Linked DNA regions of Neurospora crassa OR74A. The protein of the gene in region 2 purifies or fractionates together with the protein of the main gene of each other region. This does not show direct contact. Links are inferred from orthologs where the notes say so. Each region holds a gene or a part of one and is shown on either strand. Other genes may lie near its edges.

Region 1 (3,901 bases), on a different chromosome or scaffold from region 2:
ATGGTACTCTGAGCCACGGTCTGTGGTTGTGGCCGGTTGGGTTGCATGAGAGCTGTCCGCTAATTCCATCACCCGCATCTTAGACCCACTCATATGAAGCAGCTTTATCATCTCTCCAACGCTCCGATAAAGATCTGGAAGCCTCTTCCCAACGGCGACCATAACTCGAGTGTCCTCGAAGAAGGCTACTTTGAAGCCATCGCAGAATTCATCCAAAGGGTTTCCTCAGGAGACCCCGAAAAGAAATAGCTCGATTCGACAACGAAATCCGCGCCGTCGCTCTCTCCTCATTCCATACGGTAAATGGGTCTTTCTGTTGAAGGGGAGGCATATGATGTGCCCACGATCTTGATGACGCGAAAGCGTCCACGATTACGAGCTGTTGGGGGACAGCGAAGCACAAGTACGACAACCACGACCTTGGTGGCTTGATGCTTGAAGATGGGTCGGAACTTGAGGCTTTCATTGAGGTGTCATATTTTCTCTTTCGCACCTCGTGTATGTATTTCATGACCCTTTGGACCTATGTCGAGGTTGCTCGGGTCTTGATTAAGACCCAAACGGGACGAGACTCGATATTAATCAAGCAAGAGAAGTTTTTGTAGAGTAAATACCAAATATTAATATCGGACAAGGAATAATTCAATTTCATACTTGAACATATGTGCATTAGCTTGTCAAAAGTTCCTGACCTTTTGAGAATATGTCGGATCATTCAATCATTAGGCTATGTACGAAAACAGGCTCTCTCTCCTGGCAATATGCTTGCTGCATATACAATTATCCCTAAACCGCAGTTGTTGACTGTTCGCTCCTTGTCATGTGCAAATACTACCCAAAATCTGTTCTCGAGAGGACGTTGTAAGACTCCTGCTTTTTGTCATATCTCCCGTATATTAAGTATTTTGTCCCCCCCGACCGCCAGAAAAGGACTGCTCTAAGCAACCCTCAATGGCAGAATATGCTGTACCATCGTCTCACGTCTGCACAACGGACACTCAGGCTTCTCGCGCACCCAGTCTCCAATACACGACCAGCAGAAGACATGTCCGCACTGGGTCGCCGCCGGGTCCTTCAGCTCTTCCAAGCAAAGCGTGCACATCCTCTGCTGTCTCCCCTTGATCCAGCCCATGACCTCCTCATTCGCCGCCAAGTCGTAGTTCGCCCTCCCGCCCTTGGGCACAGGGGTGTGCGTCGTCCGTCCAATCTCCGCCAAACTACGCTGGTTACCCGACTTGCCCGTCTCCACCAGCAACTCGTTATTGCTGCTATAGGCATTCTCATCTAACGACACATCCAGTGTGCCCGCAGCGCCCGGCCCAAAGGCGCGCTCCCGAATGCTCGCCTCGGTACTGGCCTCCTCGGCACTAAGCGGCGAAGTTGACGACAGCTGCGCCGTCACATGCAGGTATCCCCGGACGAGCATCTGCACCACCAGCAGCACGCCGAGCACTTCATAGCCCGCGCGACCGCCTTGACCCTCCTCGATGCGCCGCGTGAACACATAACGCAGCCCGAAGAGGCGCTTGGAGAAAGAGTAGTAAGCACCCGAAAAGTAGAATACGGCCAGCGTCAAGGCGTGCAGGTGCGCGCCGCTGGTGATGGAAGTCAGGTGTGTGAGCAGGTAGCGCTTCACGCGGTACTCAAGCGTTGACACTGTGGAGAAACCACCGCCCTTGTTGTTGGAGGTAGATGGGGTGGCGCCCTTGGTGTCGCCGCGGCCCTGGCGGGCAAGCACGGTGAGACGGTCCTGGAGGCGCTTGCGGAGCGCGGCGCGGATGGAGGGCAGCAGGCGGCTGAAAAGGTAGGGGACAAGAACGCTACTAACGATGTAGCCGGCTCGTCGCTGGAGCGAGGGCAGACGGGGGCCACCGGCTTCGCTGCTGGGCTCGACGGGGCTTTGGGTGTCTGGTATCCTGCCGTTGCCGCCCGTACTCGGCTCTTCGACTTGGACTAGGTCGCAGTACTCCTCGCCTAAGGTGCGGTTGCCGAGGAGGGTGGTGAGGCATAGGTAGAGCAGGTCGGCAGCCGTACGGGTTTCGGTGGCCCAGGAGTGGGCGGAGCGGGCACCGCGAACGCGCCGGTGAAGGTCGGTCAGCTGGTTAGTGAGGACGCCCTGGAAATAGGCATCTTTTTGATGCGCGCGGATAATGTCGGGGGCTGCAGCGAATGGATATGGCGAGCTCGTGAGCGGCGGAGGAGGCTTCTTGGTGGCCGTCAATGACATGGTAATTGATGTCGTCGTTTGGGTCGGGTCGGGTGGGCTCGAAGTCGGGGGGGTCAAAAGCTGTGTTTACACGGTCGACGTATTCAGGGGGAACTCTCGAACCCTAGGAGAGCTCGTATGCCTACAGTCGAATCGTCGAAGCTGTGGCAGTGGATGATTAAGTCTTTTCGATCTGAAATTATCCGAGTTGTTGTTTGATGTTTCGAGATCGACAGGCGGCAGTTGAAGCTGAGATGAAAGTGGTAGTCGGGAACGGATGGACCTCGGTCCTTGGGGTTAATGGGGGCAGCACGCCCGGCGCCGCCCCAGGCGTGGTTCCTCCTCACAAGGAGCGAGCTGAGGAATTGGCAGGGGGGTGCCCAGAACGTCGTAGCCCAGGCTTTAGCGGCAGGGATGATGCAGCGGGTTGTCACAGGACGGGGCCGCGACCAGGGGTTGCACTGACGTCGGGTCTTCTCCCTAAGCCAAAAAGAGTGCACGCGACAGGGGCTTGGCAACTCCGGTGTCTTTGCGACAGCTACCACAATACAGATGAAATTAAAATTTCCATCTTGACACTTGACAAACTCCAAACGCGTTACTGCTGGGAATTTGATCCCAAGCCTATCAACTCTTCTTTGCGTCCAACTGTTACTTCTCCCTCTCCGCATTCCATGACGGACAGCAAATTGACCGCTGCCTGGCGCAATGGACGGTGATCCCGTGGTTGAGCCGGAGCTCGACTCCTTCAGCTTGACCTTTCCCCTTCCCTACCGGGTTGCCTTCATCGTGATCATAGGTATGTATATACAAGTTTCCTACCGTATGTTTGCTCTCTGGATACACGGTTGTAAACTGACTATCTCTGGTTGATTAGCTGTTTGGGGCTGGGGCCTCAACCTTCACTTCCTCCATAATCGCAAGATCGACGTCCCCTCCTTAATCCGGTACCCAGGAAGATCGAGCCCAACCCAGCTCCCTCACCACCACTCGACATACCGTCTTGCGACTCTTCTTTCGCTAAGCTCCGCTGTTTCGATTCTCACATTTTGGTCGTTTACCAGGCGCGATCCAAAACGCGTTATCGACTATGACTGGATTCCCATGACCAACTTGGCAGTGACCGCAGCCCTCTTCGTGCTACCCCTGCGAAGACTGTCTGTTTCGCACTCCGGTCGACGTCGACTACTCGCAACTCTGCGCCGCGTCAGTGTGGGAGGTTTGGCTGAGGCCAAGGATGGAAAGTTTGGGGATATCTTGCTGGCTGATGTTCTCACCAGCTACGCCAAGGTCCTTGGGGACCTGTTCATATGTCTCTGCATGTTCTTCACGCGGAATGGGTCTGCTACTGACCGACCCGATCGCAGCTGCGGCGGCACCTATCTCGTACCACTTCTCCTGACGATACCAAGCGCTATTCGGCTGCGCCAGTGTCTTATCGAATATCTGCGCGTGCGAAATTCCCCTTTCAAGGAGTCCACGGGCTGGGGTGGACAACATCTCGCCAACGCGGCCAAGTACTCGACCGCGTTTCCTGTTATCATTCTAAACGCCATGTTGCGTAACGCAAACACCAGCGGTACCCCAACTACGAGCCTGTACCGTGCATGGATTGTTGCGTGTCTGCTCAACTCACTCTACAGCTTTTACTGGGACGTTGCCAAGGATTGGGATCTCACCCTCTTTGCTGGGGCA
Region 2 (4,030 bases):
TGTGGCCAATATCCCCTTCGGGTTTGGGCGAGACGAAGGCGCTATGAGAACATTGGCACAGGAAGAAAGGGATGATGGGTGGGGTCAATGTTTGGTTCCAAGCAAGCATTGCCCGATCAAGTAATAGCTACGAGGACTATTAGATGCGATTGGAAACTGAACCATGGCACGAAGGTGTATGTACCTTGAACCCGGGATGTCTTAACAGAGAATATTCCGCATCCGACCTCTCGGGTACGCATATGCTACGCTGAGGTAATGATTTGGCAGCGACATCAATACCTACACTACAATGTATCCTTTAGTTCTCTACAGAGGCCGCGGTGTTCTGACTGTACCGATGTGGCTGAAAGTCCTGAATAGAGGGCGACATAACCAAAGCCAGTTGTCCCTCTTTGACCGTTTGCGCATCTCTATTCGATCATGGCTTTTTTTTTTTTTTGCCCCTCCCCTCCAGTTTTTTTGGGTGGCTGAGGACAATAACCAAAAATTTGTCTCGGCAATGCCATAGCAGCGGTCAAAATAGTGAGGCAGAAATACTGGGCGGTCAGGTGTACGGGATGTCTCAGATCAATTCACGGCCTAACCTTATAAGATGTGAAAATGGTAGCTTTTGATATCATGCTCTAGGAAAATGCCATGCAACGTCCGCGCTTAAAGACCTTGCAGAAATACAAACGCGCTATCATGGAAAGGGGACTGAATGAGGTTGTCCCATGCTTCACAAGTGCTCCTGTGTATTGTCCTGCTTGAACAACGTACAGGAGCTTTATTACTATACAGAAAACCAGAGGGAGTCGCTCACTTTGGCCTTATGCTCATGCCGATTAATGTATCCAGGTTTCCCAGTTCCGGTGCTATTTTATCTTTGTGCCTGACTGGAGAACAGCTTTTTAAGCGGCTTCGTCGCCTCCGTTGCTGCTTGAGCCATCGTTTGTAGTACCGTTCGTGACTCCGACAGTCGAAGCCGACGCGGTTTTGTTGGCCATGGCCAACTGCCAAGCAGGGATAGTCGGCTTGCCTGCAGAGGCAATTCCGCTGCTGAAAGGCGAAGGCTTGGGGGCAGCAGGTTGAGCGAACTGCTGTTCCTGCTGGTATCTGGATTGCTCATCCTGCGCACTCGCGGCTCTGCTGTTTAAGTCTCCGTTCTCACCGCCGAGGGCTGGCGTGGCAGGGGCTGAAGAAGGAGTGGCGTTTCCGTTAGTATTGGGGCGAAGGTAGTTGTTGACGCTCGTCGAGGTGGCGGTTGGGTTCATGCGTTGCGAGATGAGGGTCTTGAGGCTCTTGAGTTCGGTATTGAGTTCGCGCAGCCTGTTGTCGGTCAAGTCCTTCTGGTTGTTGAGTGCCCTTGGAATCGAGTCCCTGAGATTTTGCACATCGTCCCGTACTCTCTGTGCTTCGTCGTCTCTGCGTCTGTTGGCTGCCTTGAGGTCCCTGACGACAGTCTCCAGCTCCTCGAGGGCATTGTCGAGTCTCTCTGTCCTTTCCTGCTCCGAGGCCTTGAGGATTTCGGTATCCTTGGCCAGCTGCTCAACCAGTTGGAATGTTTTGTCGAATTGTTCGTCGATGGACTTCTTGTCCTGCTCGAGACGCTCCGGCGTGGGAGGAGCAATCAAAGGATACACATAGCGCTGCCGAACGGTTAGAATTTCCTTTTATGTACATTGCACGGTGTTCGGCGGCCTACCTTGCCGAGATTGTATAGGCCGTACGACGCGCCTCCGACTACGGTCGCCAAAATGAACAGGTCCCTCCAGTCCCGCCTGACACCGTCGGTATTCGATTGCGGCCATGCGTATGGGGGATAGCCATAGTACTGCGGAGAGCCACCCTGTGCTGCGACGGGTCCGGCCGACTGCGCATAGGCGGGCGACTGGGCGTACGGTGGCGGTGGACCTCCTGATTCGGCGCGGGCGAGAGCAGCGCTGACTTCTTCCTGGGTGAGGTTCTTTGCTTGGAGAAAGGCTATCCGCTTCTCGATTGGCGAGGCGGCGACACTGGGGTCTTGAAGAACTGTGGTGTTGTTGTCGGGTGAGATTCTGGCCTGGCAATGTAGAGGAGGTAGCAGGGGACAAGACAGGGGCAGAACATACACTGCGCCGCCGAAGCGACCAGGTCCTCGCGGATGGCCATGACTGATGTTGTTTGATCGAAATGCGGCAGATGGCGTTCCCTTGTTGAGACTGGGCAGACGAGAGGAAAGAAGCAGACAGCTGAAACAGTCGCGACGCGATGGCAGACGGCGGCGGTTGATGGAATGATTATCGAAGGACGGGAGGCTGAATGCGATAGATGAAGTGGAAACGAACTGACTGGCAGCGGTTCGGGGGATGGCTGGGCCGCTGGATGGAGTCCTGAAGCCGAGGTTCACGGGACCGGGGGCCTGATTGTACACTAGACGTGGACTGCTAATAGCACCTTAACAGCTTCGCATCACTTGCACCCCCAGCACACTCGTGGAGGCATGCTGATCAGATAAATCACTATCTCCTCCCCTGACTCTCCTTTTCCTCCGACAGGCCTAGAGCGCAGCTGAGCATCCATTCCATGCAGTGACTGGCTCAGAGACGGGAGTGCAGAGCTGAAAAAGCACTGACCTGAAGCGAGCCAACACTCACCCTCAAGGTCGCTTTTGGACCCACTCCCGTCATTCACCTGCCGTCCCGATGCTTGGGGACGAGAACTGGAGTGCACTTGGCACTGTTCAGCCCAATGATTTCCACAGCCCCACCCACGTCGCCTTTCTTTTGTTTACTCTTCCTGACGGAGCAACCTCCCCCACCATCCGCAGAAGTCGACAACCTAGTCCCGTCTACACTACGGTGTCTTAATCTACCTACATACCTATGCTGGCCTGCATTAGGTTGCTGGCCGTACACGTACTTTTATCGCTACGACACGACGAAATCCGCGACTGCGGTTATGCATTGATTTCTGTCAGAGCCGCGAACACGTACCCACATTAACTCGAGCGCATACCTTAGCTCTACAAAGCTATCCGACATAATCACCACCAAGAGAATCATCGCCGACATCGATCCGACACAGTTGCACGTAGTGTAACACTCTTTTGTTCGCTTGCTTATATATTATCACGGAAACCACGCGACTAGGACGGCAAAAGGGAGGCGCACATTGACGAGGCCTTTGCCGTCATGTCGCAAGACAGCAACGCAGGCCTTTGGAGTGTTCGACGGCCAAGGGAGGTGCGACTTCCCCCCGTGACTTTCTTTGCGGCGTGTTTCCTCGGTCGAAACCTCTCCCCATCCGACGCGACCATGCACGATATTGACTCTGCTCTCTCTGTAGACTCTCCATGGCGTCAACCTCACGTCGGGCATTCCGGCACCACCCTCCACACTTAAGCGACAAAGCACCATCGGCACAATAGGAACGGGCCATGGTCGCTCTCTGTCGGGGAGGCAATCTCTGGCCCTCCCGCGACCGAGCCAACCTCTGTTCCAGCGATCCTCCGACATTGGCCTGGGCTCGGTAAAGCGCGCGTCGGTTCATAACATGAACACGTCGCAGTTCAAGCCCTATGGCACCCCAGGCAGTTCCGGTATTCCTCGATCATCGCAAGAACTCGACCGGCGAAGCAGCGTCTACCGCCCAAGCGCACGACCGTCGGCCGTCGGCGGAGGTCCCTTAGCTGGTGGGCATATGAGCTTCTTCCAGCAAGCGCCCCAGCCCGCCGGCGTGCCTCGCGATCCGCGCCCCCTCAAAGACCGTCAATTCCAAAATCGCATTGGCCAGGAGTTGCTCGAGTACCTCGCCAAGAACAATTTCGAGATGGAGATGAACCACAAGCTGTCCGACAACTTCACAAAGTCGCCGACACAGAAGGACTTCAACTACTTGTTTCAATGGCTTTACCACAGGATAGACCCGAGTTACCGGTTTCAGAAGAATATCGACCAGGAGGTACCACCATTACTCAAACAACTGCGATACCCATACGAGAAGAGCATCACCAAGAGCCAAATCGCCGCGGTCGGAGGTCAGAATTGGAGCACCTTCTTGGGATTAC

What was found. The genes of interacting proteins can lie anywhere in the genome.
Region 1: the proteins of pex14 (region 2) and pex10 purify together in Saccharomyces cerevisiae (affinity purification with mass spectrometry; 4 studies listed by BioGRID, with this or other methods). This does not show direct contact. The link is inferred for Neurospora crassa OR74A from reciprocal best matches to the Saccharomyces cerevisiae genes PEX14 and PEX10.

What each region holds. Positions count from the first base shown.
Region 1 is NC_026501.1:5,159,023-5,162,923, forward strand, and holds pex10 (RING-1), read right to left. Parts: upstream 2,501-3,901; 5' UTR 2,228-2,500; coding exon 938-2,227; 3' UTR 604-937; downstream 1-603. Other genes in the region: bem46 family protein, read left to right, coding at 84-249; NCU03278 (protein-ER retention protein), read left to right, coding at 2,915-3,005, 3,084-3,901. UniProt on the Saccharomyces cerevisiae protein: E3 ubiquitin-protein ligase component of a retrotranslocation channel required for peroxisome organization by mediating export of the PEX5 receptor from peroxisomes to the cytosol, thereby promoting PEX5 recycling.
Region 2 is NC_026506.1:2,097,987-2,102,016, reverse strand, and holds pex14 (peroxisomal membrane anchor protein), read right to left. Parts: upstream 2,548-4,030; 5' UTR 2,134-2,547; coding exon 2,094-2,133; intron 2,014-2,093; coding exon 1,688-2,013; intron 1,632-1,687; coding exon 894-1,631; 3' UTR 532-893; downstream 1-531. Other genes in the region: NCU03899 (HEC/Ndc80p family protein), read left to right, coding at 3,156-3,206, 3,310-4,030. UniProt on the Saccharomyces cerevisiae protein: Component of the PEX13-PEX14 docking complex, a translocon channel that specifically mediates the import of peroxisomal cargo proteins bound to PEX5 or PEX21 receptors.